Caenorhabditis elegans: one gene and its partners. The protein of the gene in region 3 interacts with the protein of the main gene of each other region in a pairwise test. Each region holds a gene or a part of one and is shown on either strand. Other genes may lie near its edges.

The links.
Region 1: the proteins of abce-1 (region 3) and nssp-86 interact in a two-hybrid assay, tested with the Caenorhabditis elegans proteins (one large-scale study listed by BioGRID).
Region 2: the proteins of abce-1 (region 3) and rpl-4 interact in a two-hybrid assay, tested with the Caenorhabditis elegans proteins (one large-scale study listed by BioGRID).

The regions. Positions count from the first base shown.
Region 1 is NC_003284.9:9,521,686-9,525,304, forward strand, and holds nssp-86 (neuronal small secreted protein), read right to left. Parts: upstream 1,534-3,619; 5' UTR 1,489-1,533; coding exon 1,419-1,488; intron 1,318-1,418; coding exon 1,214-1,317; intron 1,086-1,213; coding exon 960-1,085; 3' UTR 803-959; downstream 1-802.
Region 2 is NC_003279.8:4,644,860-4,649,349, forward strand, and holds rpl-4 (Large ribosomal subunit protein uL4), read right to left. Parts: upstream 2,105-4,490; 5' UTR 2,099-2,104; coding exon 1,927-2,098; intron 1,921-1,926; exon of another isoform or gene 1,867-1,920; intron 1,845-1,866; coding exon 1,582-1,844; intron 1,530-1,581; coding exon 1,422-1,529; intron 1,373-1,421; coding exon 878-1,372; 3' UTR 803-877; downstream 1-802. Other genes in the region: lmd-2 (LysM domain-containing protein), read left to right, coding at 326-445, 494-766; B0041.8 (Plus3 domain-containing protein), read left to right, coding at 2,565-2,706, 2,754-3,022, 3,072-3,260; B0041.5 (Solute carrier family 35 member F5), read right to left, coding at 3,581-3,882, 3,939-4,242, 4,320-4,466.
Region 3 is NC_003281.10:13,151,681-13,160,276, reverse strand, and holds the start of abce-1 (ABC transporter, class E), read right to left. Parts: upstream 6,461-8,596; 5' UTR 6,445-6,460; coding exon 6,309-6,444; intron 6,258-6,308; coding exon 5,748-6,257; intron 4,322-5,747; coding exon 3,564-4,321; intron 2,700-3,563; coding exon 2,434-2,699; intron 531-2,433; coding exon 368-530; 3' UTR 1-367. Other genes in the region: Y39E4B.10 (NR LBD domain-containing protein), read left to right, coding at 7,525-7,529, 7,601-7,754, 7,807-7,907, 8,504-8,596.

The DNA of each region.
Region 1 (3,619 bases), on a different chromosome or scaffold from region 3:
CTTTATATATTTTCTCTATATCCCTGAATACTCCACGATCTAAAAAAAGAATAAGATCATAAAAGCATGTTCATCTACGTCAATTGCAAGCCCATTAACCCAAAATATTGTGAGATATTACATACCAAGAAAATACAAGCAATATATACGTTTTTTAACGATCCTTTTTTGGTAAAAAAATGTGTCAGCAGATTACCGAGAAAATATCTACCAAACATATTTGGGATGTCTAAATGAGAAGTAACAATCTTTTGCTGATTTGCACGAGAAAGCTTAAACCCTTAACATTTTTTAAAAGCCACAGAACCAAACTAAAATAGAAATTTTCCGAGAGCTGTTGAATCTTCGTGGTTTTAAATTAATTCGAGCAGCCCAACTCGTTGCGTAGGTGTTTTGTTTTTAAACACCCACAGGAAGTTCGAAACTTTTTGATAAAGACTGATATGTATTTTATCCTTTTAAATTGAAAAATATTTTTCAATCGTGAAAATAAAACCCATAAAATCAATTCTTGATATATTGGAAAATCTTAGGTAAAAACTCTTCAAAAATAACATTTCTATCCATACCTATAATGAACACCTTCAGTTTGAATGAACATACATTTAAAGTTAATTTTTTGTTTTGAAATATATTGTTTTAACACACAAGTGCCAACAAATTTATACTAAACTATTTCCACAAATCAACGTCTTGGAATGTTAGCTTCCAAAATTTTCAGTAATTTTTCTCCAAAGACTTTTCGGTCGAGGGTCATATTTCTCAGCTTTTCTAGAAAAAAACAAGAATAAAAAACAAGCAGTAACAGGCGGTACGTCTCTCTTATTTATTTTGAAGTCTCTCATATGGTTTGGATTGGCATTGACTAACGATGAATTGATTGGGGTTGAAGAAAATTAGATTGAAAAGTTCTCTGAGTTGATTTTGTACAACTATTTGCTGACACCTGATGTCGGAACTCAATGGGCAGTTGCACAGGTTTCGTTACATTCCAATTTAAAGCATTGATTCATCATGGCCAATGTGAATTTTGCCTCTGCATCGCTTCTCTCTCCAGGCATGTGACCAAAGTAAGCCGTTGTCATCTGAATTTTGAGCTATTATTTTAAAGTCAAATATAATTAAAAATGAGACAACTCGGTCTATGCTTTTCATTTTTTGCGTCTCCTACTTCCTATACCCAAGTCATTTACTCTGTTTGGTCATTACTCACCTCGGCTATTCCAAACCAGCATGCCTTCTTGCAGCATACGCACGGCATTGCAGTTTCCTCCCCTGCGTTACACACGTTTGGCATTAGGGATGATGCAGCTCCCACTGAAAATATTTCAATAAAAAGAAAATGCAACGAGCAATAATTAATAAAAATCAGCTGATATTTTTAGGCGTAAATAATTTTTTGTTTCAATATAACTAACCTTGCGAGTTTTGGCAAGCCAGAAAGGCCACAAGCCCAACGAGAATAGTTGCTTTGATGAACGAGATCATTGTTTTTGGAGAACGAAGGTACCGAATGGAAAGCGCAACGGCTGAAGAAAAAGTAAATTTGAGGAGGTTGCTCGGAGAGCTTTATAGGACGTTGCTCTCTTTTAAGACACGCCCATTTTCCCTGGACAGCACCGCCTCCGGAGCAAAGCATGACGATATTGTAACGATGAAACGGTCGTTTGCCCGTTTCCTAATAGGGTTGGTTGAAAAATAGTGCACATGATTTTAGAGAAGTAGGGATTGAGTTGCGTGTGAACAAAGTATCAGATAAAGATAATAGTTGTATTAGACAATTATATTTATTTGTTTCTAGTTATGTTCAAAACAGTGGAACGAGTTTGTGTTAGTTGCGGAGGTGTTTAGTTAGTTAACGTAGTTCAATTTTTGAGATTAATCCACAAAATAGGAAAACGAAATTCAAAAATAAATAAAGTTGAATATTTTAAAAGTTAATGTATTCAACAATAGTTCTAATCGCATACACTAGAGAATCTCGTATCAGACAACATTATCAGCATTCAGAAGATAAAACTAGACATTGAAGATATTGAAAATTTTGAGAAGACTGGCGAATTTTGCACTTTCATTACTACATCATCTAATTTTAGGGCTTCATGACATAAAAATATTCAACTATATGAATTTGTTTCACACACTAAATTGAGAAAAAAACTAGTCCGGCTTTTTTTTAATAGTTGTTGCCAAACAATTGAACAGTTTTATTTAGTGCGTGTAAGATGTACTGTCATCATTATTCAATAAAAAATTAATTTGTTCGATAAATTCTGTAAGTCTTGACAAGTCGTATTTCGAATACAATAACTTAACTCAATGTTATAGATTTTGCACCCCAAAAGAGTTTTAAAAATTTAAAAAATTTTTCTTGTCTTTTCGAGAAGGTTTGAGCATTGTTGATGGTTTAGACAGTTTCATTATTCAAATACACATAGCTCAATTCTTTTTCCAGACTTCCAAAATCACGATAAACAAAAACTGATTGTAAGCAATTGTCACTTTTTGATAGTTTTCAATTTTCAAAGTTTAATCGATTTTGGTTTGAAAACATTTTTAAATCTAGCGTACAGTAATCTTTTCATTGGCTTGTTTGGTTTTTGTAAAATATCCTGAAATCTCCATGAAATAATTTAGTTCCGGATTTATTAAACGTCAAGAGGAACAAATTTGCACTAAAATCAAACTTCCGGGTTTATCAACAACATCCATGGAGGTTAAAAAGGTTGCTAGCAGGTGGAGCTGCGTCACAGTCATGTTTTTTGCTTTCTTGTTGTTATCCTCGTTGACGTGTGCTCTGATTGAGGATTTGATCCAGAAATAACGGATTGAAAACCTATCATTAAAATTTTTATGCATCCGGTGTGAAAAGAAGTGAAGAATAGGCGAGGGTGTTGAAAATTTTGAAATTCTCGCAAGGATGCGATTACAAATCTGGGGCTTCTTTTAGATTGGTGAAAGAAACAATATCATAAATGTTTTTTTCAAAACATTGAATACTACTACAATCGAGAAAATTTTTAGAAAAGCATTTGTTTGAATTTATAATTATTGAAAACACAATCTTCGAAATGTTTTATGTTTAGAAATGTTCTAAAAAAATTTCAAAATCAAATTCAGATAAACGTTATTCTTCAAAAATTCTTGCAAATTTTCGGTTATGACTACATACTTTAAAAGATCCAACATTGCTGCATCAACATGTGGCTTCACTACAAATGCAATAAACGAAACTATATCACTTCATGCAAAGCAATTTCTACAAAAATTGTTCGGAAACTAATTTTTTGAAAAAGAAATATGAAAATTAATAATGAATATTAATTCCCCTGAAAATCATGTTGTTTATAAATCGGGCTGCTTGCTGACCTGCAGAAAGTGACAAAGCTTGAGATGACATGTCGTACATAAAGACTATTCCACCAAAACAACAAAACATAAAAAGCTTAATAAAACAATTTCACGGACGGATTCGGCACGTGTTTTCAAAATAACAGACTCACAAAATCTTAATTTATTATAAACATTTCATTGAAACAGTTTTTTATTAAACAACTCTAGTGAAAAAAAATTGACACCCACACAAGGATATGTAAAAATGAAAAAAAAAGTGGAACTT
Region 2 (4,490 bases), on a different chromosome or scaffold from region 3:
GACAGAAAATAGACCGTAATGAAGGAATATAACTGTACAAAAATTTACAAAAATGTTCTAACTTTTTAAAATGGATTTTCCTATTTTCCAAAAAAAAAAGACTAATTATTTATTAATTCCCTCTCGAAATTCAATGGTTTTATTGATTTTCTCTTTAAAATTTTGATTTCTTCCGGGTTATCGAGTTTTCGTTTTTGCATTAGTTTTTTTGCAAAATTGAAAAATTCATTAAAAATAATTTTACAGTTATATTCGATCATTTTCTATAACTTAAAGCAAAATCCTTAATCGGTCCTCACAGCACATTTAAAATGTGATTCTACAGGTTCGAAGATACGGCACAACCCAAAGTCAATCTTCACCAGTTACACCATGTTCATATACAATTTACCAAGTTCAAACCGATGATACACTTGAAAGAATAGCATTAAAGCATAATTGTTCGGTTGGTTCCATTTGTTTCTCCTTATCTGTTGTTCATGTACGATTTCAGGTTTCATCTCTCGTTCGTGCAAACAAGCTTTGGTCTCCCAGCGCCTTGTTCATGAAGCAATTCATTAGAATACCCATTTTCAATTCACAACAACCTAATCTCAAACCATCTTTGCAAGAAACTCAATGCAAAATTGTGCCTGCCACTACTGAACGGGTCGACAGTAGCCGAGAAGAAAAATCTATGAAAGATATTTTACAGCGCATAGATCGGAACATCAAATCGTTTCGGAAATGTGATAACCCTAGCAGCTCAGCTTATGATCATATTTAAATTATTTTTGAAATAAATCTGTTGTCAAAGTAAATCGTTCTGGAAATTTAAACAATGCGTTCAACAAATTAAATCGGTTATTAACAAAAAAGTTTATCAACAACAGAATACTTATTTCTTCACGTTGGCCTTTGAAGCCTTGCGGAGGATAGAAGCATATGGGTTCAACTTGTACAAGAGGGTTCTCTTCTTGAGTGGGTTGCGGTGGACCTTTGGAAGCACTGGGTTCTTCTTTGGAGCTCTGATAGCCTTAACGACCTCTTCGGAACGGATGATGCGGGAGAAGTCGGAGTTGGCCATGATTGGGAGTGGGACAGACCATCCCTTCTTGAGTTGAGAAGAGTTGGCAACGGTGGTTCCGTAGATGGTATCAAGCTTCTTGAAGGCAGACTCGGTCCAGATGATAAGACGTCCGAGATGTCCTCCTGGGGCGAGCTTGAGAAGGTTGAGTCTCTCAACATTCATGACATCGACTCCTGGGATGTTGCGGAAGGCACGAGCGCACTCAGCATCTTGTCCGTAGATAACAACTGGTCCGAGCTTCTGCTTGTGTTGACGGTTGCGGAGCTTTCCCTTTCCGGCGCGGTTTCTCTTCGAGTTGTAAACCTTAAAACTGTTACGTTAAAAACAAATTTAATTTTTTTAAATGGTATACCTTCTCGATATCAGCCCACAAGTGGGAGCGACGGAGGAAGACGACGGCCTCCTTGGTCTTGCGGAAGCTTTCGACCTTGTCGGAAACAACAAGTGGGACCTCAGCGACCTAAAAAATAGTACTGTAAATAGGAACAAAACTTTTAAAAAAGTTTACTTACTTGATCGATGACGTGTCCACGAGCTTGGAGAAGAGCTGGGATTCCGGAGGCAGCAATAGCTGAGGAAACAGCGTATCTCTTCTGGGCAATGTTGACGTTGCGGTGCCAGCGGCGGAACACCTTGAGTGGGGCGAACATGTGTCCTCCACGGCACATATTTCCGAAAGCTCCCTGTCCGGAACGGTGGGTACCTCCTCCGCGAACACGTGGAATACGGGCAACGGCACGTCCAGTTCCCCAGGACTCAGCAGAGTGTTGCTTTCCTGAAATAAATAGTAATTGAGGAACACAGAAGTTAGTTTGAAATTAAAATAATCAATAACCGAATCTAATTATGTCACTTACCGGCCTTGGTGTTAACGGCATGGGCCTGTCTTCTGTTTCTGCGGACCTGATCGGCGATGAAGCTCACCAAGTCTGGGCGGATTGGAGTACGGAAAACGGCTGGGAGCCGGATTTGAGATTGAGTGGCCTCGTACTTTTCATCGTACACAGTCACGAGCGGTCTGGCCGCCATTATTACCTGCAATCAACAGAAATAGTAAAAAATAGATTAATTTTAAAAGAAAATGATTCAAAAAATGCGAGAAGAGTAAAGAAAAAATGATGATATTTTAGGCAATATTCAGATTTTTCGACCGAAACAGGCTTAGGATATTCAAAACCTTATTTTAATACATTCCAAATGTGAAAATATCACCGAAAATCTTTTTTATATTGAAAAAACGAAAAAAGTTCCTAAAAAATTTCAGAAAACAGGGAAATCGTGTTTAAAGGGAGGCAAAAATTAGGGTATTGGCTGAGTATCCAACGTCGGGGTCTCGCCGCGATGAGACGAAATGTCGGCAGGCAACTTGTGTCAATTTACGAGGGCGCGGTATCCGCTGATTTCAAACCCGATCCTTCCATTTTCTTGCTTAAAAACGTTTTCAAATAGTTTAATTGTGTTTTTACTTGTTTCAATACATAAGTGTTTGGGATAGATGCTGTCTTCTACATCAACATTCTTTCCTCTCGTGAAAATCGACTACAAGCGAATGGAATTATTGCGGAAAGCGGCACAGATGAAAAATTTCCGTGTAAATGAGGATACGCTGAGAAAATTGAACGACGTTGAAACAGTTGGTATGTGTTTTACAATAATATGTTTTGTTAAATAATTGAGTTTTCAGGTGAGATAATTTCCACAACACCGTCGACATCGTCAGTTGAATCATCAGGATTTCGAAGAAATGCGAAAAGAAAAATGGACGATGATTCGAACACCAGTATGTTTTCAGAAGAACAATGCTCTCATTGTGGATGCCGAATGCTTCGAGTTGTTGATCCAGGACGTCCCGATCGTATGATGGTTCTGGAGTGTATGCGCTCAAATTGTCTGGCATCTGTGAAACTTACTGATCTTCCAGTTGGGACGGTCATTGGAAAGGAAATTAGTTTGGTAAGTTGATAATTTATTTTGAAATTAAAAACAATCATTTTATTTTCAGACTCCGAAATCCGCCTACAACACTCTAGCTCGCTACTATCCCAAAAACCGTTACACTCCGGAATTGGATTCATTCGATCAGGAACAACATGGAAAGCGTAAAGCGAATGTCAAGATTTTTGAGTCATCTGCAAGAGGAATATTCATTGATGTTCCAGGACAAGACACCAAAGCTCGCTTTGTGGCATAATTTTAATATTAATCGTTAAATTACTAGTAATATGCCGGGTTGATCACAAAACCAAAAAGCCAACGCTGTATTAATTTTCACTTCCGATTTACTGAACGATCTGAATTGTCTGATAAATATCAAGTTTATAAAAGTAACATAAAACGATATTTCTTCAAACATTTATTTTTCCCGAATTTAATACAGTGCAAAAAAAATTAAATATGACTAGTTGATCAGAGGGGAGTGTGTCACAACCTTCGAATGCCTATAAAGCGACCAGTAGAACAAGAGAAAATAGAGATTCTGAGAGAGTTTAAACAATGTTTCTAAGAGAGATGCTACTCGTCCGATAGACTATCCATAAGATGTTCATTGTCCGGCGATAATGATTCCACTTTTCGTACTCGTTTTGAAAGCCCTTTTCGTATTGAAGTTGACGGATTTTGTGCATATGCAGCGCCAACGAATGCCACGAGGATCGGAATCGATGCAATAACTTGTGCCAGTGTTGGAGCTTTGCTTCGAATCACTGTATCGGCGAGGAATGACAGAGGAATGCTTACAGTCATTGATAGGCAGGTGGTGAGAGAATCACACATTCCAGCGGCAAGAAGCCAAAGGTAATCAGCGACAATTGTTCCTGAAATTAAAAAAAAAATTAATATTAAAAATACTCATTAATACAATAAATCTCACCAATGAGCGCAGAAAATAAAATTGACGAGAACTGTGTAGCATTTGGAAGTGGATGTAATGGTTCTACACCAAATCTATCCAACAAATTTAATGTAGGTGTTCCAAGAACCAAAGCGATGACTCCGATTGCTCCAAACATCAAATTAATATCCAGTTTTCCATATTTTTCCTCAAAATGGCCAAATGCAAAAAGATAAACTGCATAAGCAAGAGCAGACATCTGAGCAAAAAGTGCTCCAAGAAATGATGGAATATAATGAGAAACGATAAGAACACCGGCAATGTTGATGGCCACTAGGAGACACTGAAAATGAAAAATTGTTGTGACAAGTTGTGAAAAGCACGTCTAGATTTTAATTTCTAGAAAAATAATCTAAATACCTTATACGCCGAAAACCGATTGTTAGTACTAGGAAAGCATATGGCGAAGGCTAAAACAAAGACAGACGATGAACTGGAAACGAGATTGAGACTGGAGACAGACGTGAACGCCAATGCTGCTTGATATGTGAACGAGCAGAGCAACCACTGCAATTGTACTAGGTTAACTCT
Region 3 (8,596 bases):
CTTTTTATCATAACAAGGAAGGAATAAATATTGAGATGAAATAAAGTAGCAATAAAAAAGAGGAACAGGATACTAGGAAACCAAATGAATTTAATTTTCGAATAGAAAAATAGTTGGGCTTGCTGAAAAGAGCAACCCCTATTATTTTTCAATGAAAACTTTGATAAATTTAACGAAAAAAAAAACAACGAAATTTTCGAGGCCCCACGAAAAGGGGATCTGCAAAAAGTGGATTTGCGAAAAGGTAATCTACCAAAAGGGGATCCTGGCACAACGCAATTTTTCATGAAGAAAACGATACAACAAAGCACAGATATTACGCATCGCGATATACGTATCCCCTTTTCGTATGGCCTCAGATTTGCGCTTAATTATCATCAAGGAAGAAGAATTGTCCGCTCTTCTTTTGGTCAACATCCTTCACCGAGTCGAGTTTATTGATGCGTGGGCGATATGTTTCCTGATCACGACGGAAAGTGATATCCAACATTTTCAAGAATCGATTCATTCCTTCCAGCAGGGATTGGGGTCTGAAAAATCAATGATTTTTATTTTGGTTTAATTTTAAAAAAATACAGAAAAAAAACGTAATACGCCAGTGGAGAAATTACTTTAAAACACGCCTATGGTACCACAATTACCGAATATCATGATTAAAAAATTCAAAAAAAATTTCTAGATTTTATATGATTTTTTAAAAATTGGAAAAATCACAGTTTTCATCCAATTATTTTTGAATTTCCGCCAATTGGATTTGTTCGATGGAGCGCACTTGCATTATTTTTATTAATTAATTTAATTTATTCTCGTTATTTCACTGATTTTCTTCATTTTCTATGTTTTTTAATACGAAAATAAAAGAAATAATTAAGACAAATGCAAAATGTTTGTTAAAAAGTATTTCAAAATGGGTAAAACTGTGAAATATACTAATTTCAGACTTGTTGCCGTCGGAACTCAATATATCACAGTTTTACGCATTTTCAATTACTTTTTAACGAATTTAAGTTTTTGTTTTAAAAAAATTAGATTTTTTATTTTATACAAATTTTTGGCCAAATTTGGATTTTTGTTGGTTTATTCTAAAGATAGTTTTTTTTTAAAATAAGTTTTTAAAATTAATTTTTCTTGACCAAAATTGGATTTTTGGCAAAAAATGGATTTGTCGGTTTTTTTAAAATTTTTCGACAAGAAATGTATTTTTTTTTGGTTTTTTAAAAATTATTGTTTGGCAAAAATCGTAGTTTTGTTTTGACAAAAATTAGATGTTTTGTTTTTTTTTTGGGAAAAAATCGTTTATGTTTGTTGGTTTTTTGAATAATTGTTTGTCAGAAAAAGTTTTTTTTTTGGATTATAAGAAATCTTTTTTTAGCGAAAAATTGAATTTGTTGGTATTATATTAAGGTGTTTTGCGATTTTTTAGGCGAAAAAATGGTGTTTTTTGATTTTTGTTAAATTTTTTGGCAAAAAATTAGATTTTTTGGTTTTTTTTTAAATTTTCATTTGTCTTGTTTATTTCTTCCTTTTTCCGAGGAAAAAACATAGAAAATGAAGAAAATCAGTCAAATAACGAGAATAAATAAAATTAATTGAAATTAATTAATAAAAACAATGCAAGCGCGCTCCATCGAACAAATCAAATTAGCAGGAAATTCAAAAATAATTAGGTGAAAACTGTGATTTTTCCAATTTTCAAAAAATCATATAAAATCTAGAAATTTTTTTTTTGAATTTTTTAACCATGATGGTCATTGTGACCCCATAGGCATGTTTTAAATTTTTTTGACAAATTATTACCGTATTTCTTTTATTAATATGGCTGCAATACTATTTTTCGATGGTCTTCCCGCTTGCAATACTATTAGGGAGTGCAATACTAATTTTCAGAACATTTTTCTGACTTTGAGCTTACTATTTTTGTTCTGAAAAAACTCGAATCTTATGTAAAAATTCAGAAAATTTGATTGAAATTGCAACAAAAAAGTTCAATAACTTCAATCTTATAAAAATTTTCACGAAAATTATTGAAAACGACGCAGAAAATGTTGTTAAAATATTAAATTTAGTGAGGCGCGGGTTTGCACCGAAAAAAAGTAGAGACGCAAGACTATTAGGGAGTGCAACACTAAAAGGGAGTGCAATACTAATTTTCGGAGGGTGTTCAAGGTGCAATACTAATAGGGAGTGCAAGTCTAATAGGGAGGCCATACTAATAGAAGAAATACGGTATACAGTGCATTTTTTTTTTCAACTTCTTCGACTTTAAAGGCGCGCGCATTTTCGAGCAATGGTCTCGCCACGCGCATCCCATTGATTTGTTGAGCGCGTGGCGAGACCAATGACGAGACCATTTTGTATAAATGCGCGCGTCTTTAAAGTTGTAGAATGGGGAAAAAATGCACTGTATTTCTCACTAATAAACAATAAACTCACTTGCAAGCCGTACACTTGACCGACGGTTGACCTTCGAAAACGACGACTCTGTCGGCCAAATAGGTAGCCATAATGAAATCGTGCTCGACAACAAACGCCGTCTTCTTGGCATGCATAATGAATCTTTTGATCACTTTTGCCGCGTGAAGACGTTGCTCCGAATCCAGGTAAGCTGATGGCTCATCGATAAGGTACAAACTGGCGGTTTTTCCGAGGCAAAGGGCAAGAGCGACACGTTGTAATTCTCCTCCCGAAAGTTCTTTCACCTGTAATTGAGTTTGGTCAGGTTTAAAAAAAATTAAATCTTCGTTTTTCTATAAAAAATTTGCAAAAATTGGATTATTTTGTAAACTTTTTGACAAAAAAAGAAAACATTTTGGTTTTTAAAAGTATTCTGGCTCTAATGGATATTTTTTTTCGGATTTTTTGGTTTTTAAAATTATTTTTTGGCAAAAACTTGATTTTATAATTAACAAAAAACTTTTTTTTTTTGTTTCCTAATAATTATTTGGCAAAAATTATTACAGGAGCACAAAATTCTGAGAATGCGTATTGAGCAACATATTTGAAACGCAAAATATCTCGTAGCGAAAACTACAGTAATCCTGTTTAAATGACTACTGTAGTGCTTGTGTCAATTTACGGCGTTTCGAAAATCATCGAGCCCTTAAATCGACACCAGCGCTACTGTAGTCATTTAAACTGGATTACTGTAGTTCTCCCTTCGAGATATTTTGCGCGTCAAATATGTTGCTCAATACGCATTCTCAGAATTTTGTGTACACATAATAGATTTTCCCAAACAAATTTTGCCAAAAAGTTTCCAAAATAATCCAATTTTTGCGAATTTATTACGGAAAAACGAAAAAAAATTTTTTTTTTTCAAAAATTGGATTTTTTCGGTTCCTAATAAAATTTGTTAGAAAAAATATTGGATTTTTTGGTTTTTTTTTAAATTTTTCAGACCAAAAACTGTCTTTCCAAAAGTTTTAGTGGTGAGAACGATTTTCAAAGCTGAAATTTTCAGTATTTTTCGATTTTTAGTGGCAATTCTGAATTCTGAAGATCAATTAGCACATTTTGAAGCAAAATCGCAAAATCCCCATTCACGATTCTTCAAAAACTCTCACATTTCGATCCAACAACTGTTCCATCATCAACGGATTCATCACATCCGTCTTGAATTGTGGATGCTCGTACATGTTCTGAATCTTATCGTGAAGCATGAAGCGTACAGTAGTCTCAGATTTCGGTGAGATCTTCTGCGGCTTGTACGAGATGCTGACGTGCGGGAGCTCAGTGTTCTCATCTTCAGGCTTCAACGATCCAGCCATCATCTTGATCATCGTCGTCTTTCCTGTACCGTTTTCTCCGAGCATCACGATGATTTCCGAGTCGGAAAAGTCGCCGGCTTCAACGTCCAAATGGAAGTTCCCAAGCGTTTTTGACATTGACGGGTACTTAATATTTCCAGTTCTCTTGATATCCTCCTGCTGCTCCGATGTCTTGAAAGAGAGCTTTGACTCTCTGAATCTCATATTTTCAGTCCGAATGAATCCTTCCAAGAACATGTTGATACCTTCACGAACACCAGATGGCAGAGTAACAACTCCATAAACTCCAGGAACTCCGTACAAGCAGCAAATGAAATCAGATAAATAATCGAGAACTGCCAAGTCGTGTTCAACAACTACAACATAGTTCGTATCACTGACACGCTCGCGGATGATCGCGGCAGCCTTCAGACGTTGCTTGACATCAAGGTAAGAGGATGGTTCATCGAACATGTAGACGTCGGCTTTTTGAACACAGCACATTGCGATCGCGAAACGTTGGAGTTCTCCGCCGGAGAGTTGGTCGATTTCACGATCCAGAAGGCCACGAAGCTCTGAAAAATACATGGTTTTTTTATTTTTTTACATTTTTTACATTTTTTACATTTTTTTACATGGTATATTATTACGGCAAAAAAAATTTGAAAATTTTTTTTTTCGGTTTTTTGAAAATAGCTCAAAAATTCGCCCATTTTCTTAATTTTCGAAAAAAAAAATTTGAGGCACCACGTTTTCAAGATCTGTTCAAAAACAAGATCTACGTTTTCAGAATCTGGCACCGTGCCAGCTGCGGCTTTCTCGGTGAAAACCGAAACAACGATGCTCCGATGTTACGCGTCGCGTGTTGTTTAGCGTTCAGAAAAATATTTTTTTGAAATTTTCATCTAGAAGATACGCTTAACAACACACGACTCGTAACATCGGAGCATCGTTGTTTCGTTTTTCATCGAGAAAACCGCAGTTAGCACGGTGCCAGATTCTGAAAACGTAGATCTTGTTTTCGTAGATCTTGTTTTTGAACAGATCTTGAAAACGTGGTGCCTCTACATTACAAGTAAAAACATTATTTTATTTAAAAAATCTACAAAAAAAACCGTGCCGCAGGGTTGCGAACTGACGCTCCGCCTATTTTTCTGTGCGACGCTCCGTTCTTTGCAAAATTCAGACGGAAATTGATTTTAAAAATTTGCATGGTTCAAATTACTACGGTAAAATTTTTGTTTTTCTCGAAAATCGCTTAAAAATTCGCCCATTTTTCTTAATTTTCGAAAAAAAAAATGACAAAATGGGGATTTTGGGTGTTTTTTAAAAAATTTTTTTTGATAAAAACTTAAATTTTTAGTTATTTTTGGCAAAAATTGGATTCATTGGTTTTTTAAAAAAACATTTTTTCAGACCAAAAAGCTGTTAATTTTCAGTGGGGAGAAGAAAAAATTCCATTTTTTTTCTAGTTTTTGGAGAGATTTGATTTTAGAAGCTTTGAAAATATTTTTTTTTTAATTGTCTTGATTTTTCTCTGAAAAATTGGCCTCCAAACGACAAATTTTTGTTTAATGCAAAAAGGCGTGCGCCTTTAAAGAGTACTGTAGCTTCAAAATTTTGATGGTGCGGACGTTTTTAAATCGATTTTTATAGTACTGTTGAAATTAAACGGCCGATCCGTGCGAATTTTGCAAAAAAAATGCTGCGTCGCACAGAAAAAGAGGCGGAGCGTCATTTTGCAACCTTGCGGCACGGTTTTTTGGTGATTTTTTTAAAAACAAAATATTAATTTTACATGTTTTTTGTTGCGAAACATGGATATTTTTTAAATCAAATTTCTTCGTTTTTAGCGAATTTCGGCGTTTTCGTTTCAATTTTTCTCAGGAAAATCACTCATTTTTCAGTTTTTCACCGAAAAATAGTGAAAAAAACGACTTAAACGTAAAATTTTCGCTGAAAAATACGAATCCCAGCCAATTTTCCGCCGAAAAAACCTACCCATTTGATCAATAACCGAGTTCAAATTGTCATTATCGTGCTTTCGGGTCAAATTTTTCTCAACAGTTCCCTTGGCAGCTCTTGGAATCTGATCGACATATTGTGGCTTGATGACACACTTCAAAGTATCCTCCAAAATTCGCGTAAAGTAATTCTGGAGTTCTGAACCTCGAAAATGGTTGATAATAGTCGTCCACTCTTGCTCTTTTTGGAAATTTCCCAAATTTGGCTTCTGTTTTCCGGCCAGAATTTTCAGTGCCGTCGATTTTCCGATTCCATTTGTTCCGACGAGTCCGAGGACTTCTCCACAGCGAGGAGTTGGCAGGCGATGCAACTTGAAGGAATTCTGCGAGTAACGATGAGTGGTCTCATTTGCCAGATTTGCTGGGAGATTGATGATTTTGATTGCGTCATATGGGCACTTCTTCACGCAGATACCACATCCAATGCACAAGATTTCGGAAATTTGAGAAATCGTGGAAGTTGCCTCGACGACAATACACTGTTTTCCTGGATATTTGTTGCAATTATTTGTGAAAAAGAAACCGAGGATTTAAATACCTTGTCTGTTCACTGGGCAAGCTCTTTTGCACGCCAGACCACAATTTTTCGGCTTGCAGCGATCTTTTTCCACAATAGCAATACGCAGTGGCACGTCCGTCTCGTTGTTTTTTATTAATGGGCCTTTTCGACTCATTTTTCGTTCGTTTTACCTGAAAAACGCGATGAAATTGAATAAGAAACGTGTTTTTTAGGCAAAAATTGTTAGAAAATTCATATTTTAGAGGAAATTTCTTAAATTAGAGCGCGCTGGTTTAAAGGGACATAGCATGGGTCTCGCCGCCTTTTTTGTTCGTTTTACCTCAAAAATCAATGAAATTGGATGGAAAACGTGGTTTTTAGCACGGAAACAAGCTAGAAAATCAATAATTTCACCGAAAAACTCAAAAAAATGCTCAAGCAGAAATAACTCGAAATTCCCGATATTTTGGGTCGTTTTTTCAAGTCCTAACCATTGAAAAAGGCAAAAAAAAAATTTTTTCAGCGAAAATTCATAAATTCAAGTAAAACAGCAGGTTTTGCATAGTTAATGTTCGATTTTTCAACAGAAAATATATGAAAAATGCTTGAAACATCTAGAATACATGGAAAATAGGAAAAAAAAACAAAAAAAAATTTGATAGAAAACGTGTCTTTTTAGCAGGAAATTGACGTGGCAAGCTAGAAAATCAACAATTTCACCGAAAATTTATCGAAAAACGTAGAGAAATTGCTAAAATTTGCGGAGACCGCCTCTTGAGTGCCCCCGATTATCGCAATATTCCACAATGTTGTGCAATTATAAAAAACAAGCTATATAAGCCTCAAATAGGCAGAAATAACTCGTTTTAAGTGAGATTTCAACAATTTCAAGTGCAATTTTAAAAATTCCCAATATTTTTGGTAATTTTTTTAGTTGAGAAAAGGCAATTTTCGACGGAAAATCATAAATTAAGGTAAAACTTTAGATTTTACATAATTAAAGTCTGAGTTTTCAACAAAAAACAAATAAAAAATTGCCTAAAAACCCTAGAAAACCAGAAAAATAGGCTGAAAAGCTACATGTGGCGTGTAAAAATACTGAAAAAAAAAGAGTACAGTGGAGCGCGCTTGCTTCGCGGCTTCTCTGCGTCTCTCGATTTCGCATAGTCTCTCCATGTCGCCATGACGAAGAAGTGCTCGGCTGAACATTAATTTTTCCAATTTTCTACTATTTTTCTGATTTATTGATCTCAAAATGAGGTAATTTTTTATTTTTTTAATTTAAAATTCGCAAAATTTATCGATAATTCATTAAATTTTCAACCTTCCAGCAACGAAAGCAGTGAAACCATGACAAAAAAAGAGGAAGAAGCCGAAAAAAAGATTGAAATTCAAATCGAAGAGCACATTAAATTATTTGAGGATCCAACAGCGTCTTTCGAGGAGAAAATGAAGATTCTCGTGAAAGTTCCGACCGAATTACAGGTTTTTGAGTGCCCGGAGCGGTGAAAAAATGCGAAAAATCGAAAAATTCCAGCATAATCTTCTAAATCGAGAGCGCTCCGATCGGTTATTCGCCAGTATTCCAATTGAGATGTTTCAGAGGATTTTTGAGCCAATGCATGAAGAATATGCCCAGTAAGATTTGGATTTTCGGGGGAAAAATTGAATTTTTCATTTTTTTTTTGCAAGAAAAACGCAATTTTTGAGTTTAAAATGCAAAAATGTATCGATTTTCACTTAAAAAATGGTAAATATAGATCATTTTTAATGTTAAAACCGCGCAAATAAGCTCCTAAAACAAGAATTTCTGCCAAAAACTGTAAAACTTGTAGTACGAAATCCTAAAAACCGTTTTAAAGATTTTTGATCATTTTTCTGTGTATTTAATGACTAATAATTGCAATTTTTCATATAAAAATCGATTAAAACGACAAATTATCCGGTTACCGCAATGACTTTTATCAATTTTTTTTTAATTTCCAATTTTTCATCGGAGAGAAAACGCGCTCCATTGCAATCCTCCGAAAAAGTTCGCAATAGAGCGCGATTGCAGAAAATCTGAAAAAAATACAGTTTTTGGCAAAAAAAAACCCGAAAATTTAAGCTAATAAACTGCGAAAAATGGAAATTACTACGAGTTTTCAAAAAAAAAAAATTTTTTTTTCAATTTCTTAAAAAATTCTTTAAAAATTTTCCAAAAAAAAATTTCCAAGAAAAAATTTTTTTTCCAGCGCTCGACCAATTCTCATCCACATTCTGTCGTTCCTATGCCAATGCACATCTCCAGAAGTTCATTTAAAATTCAAAATTCTCATGGAAAATGT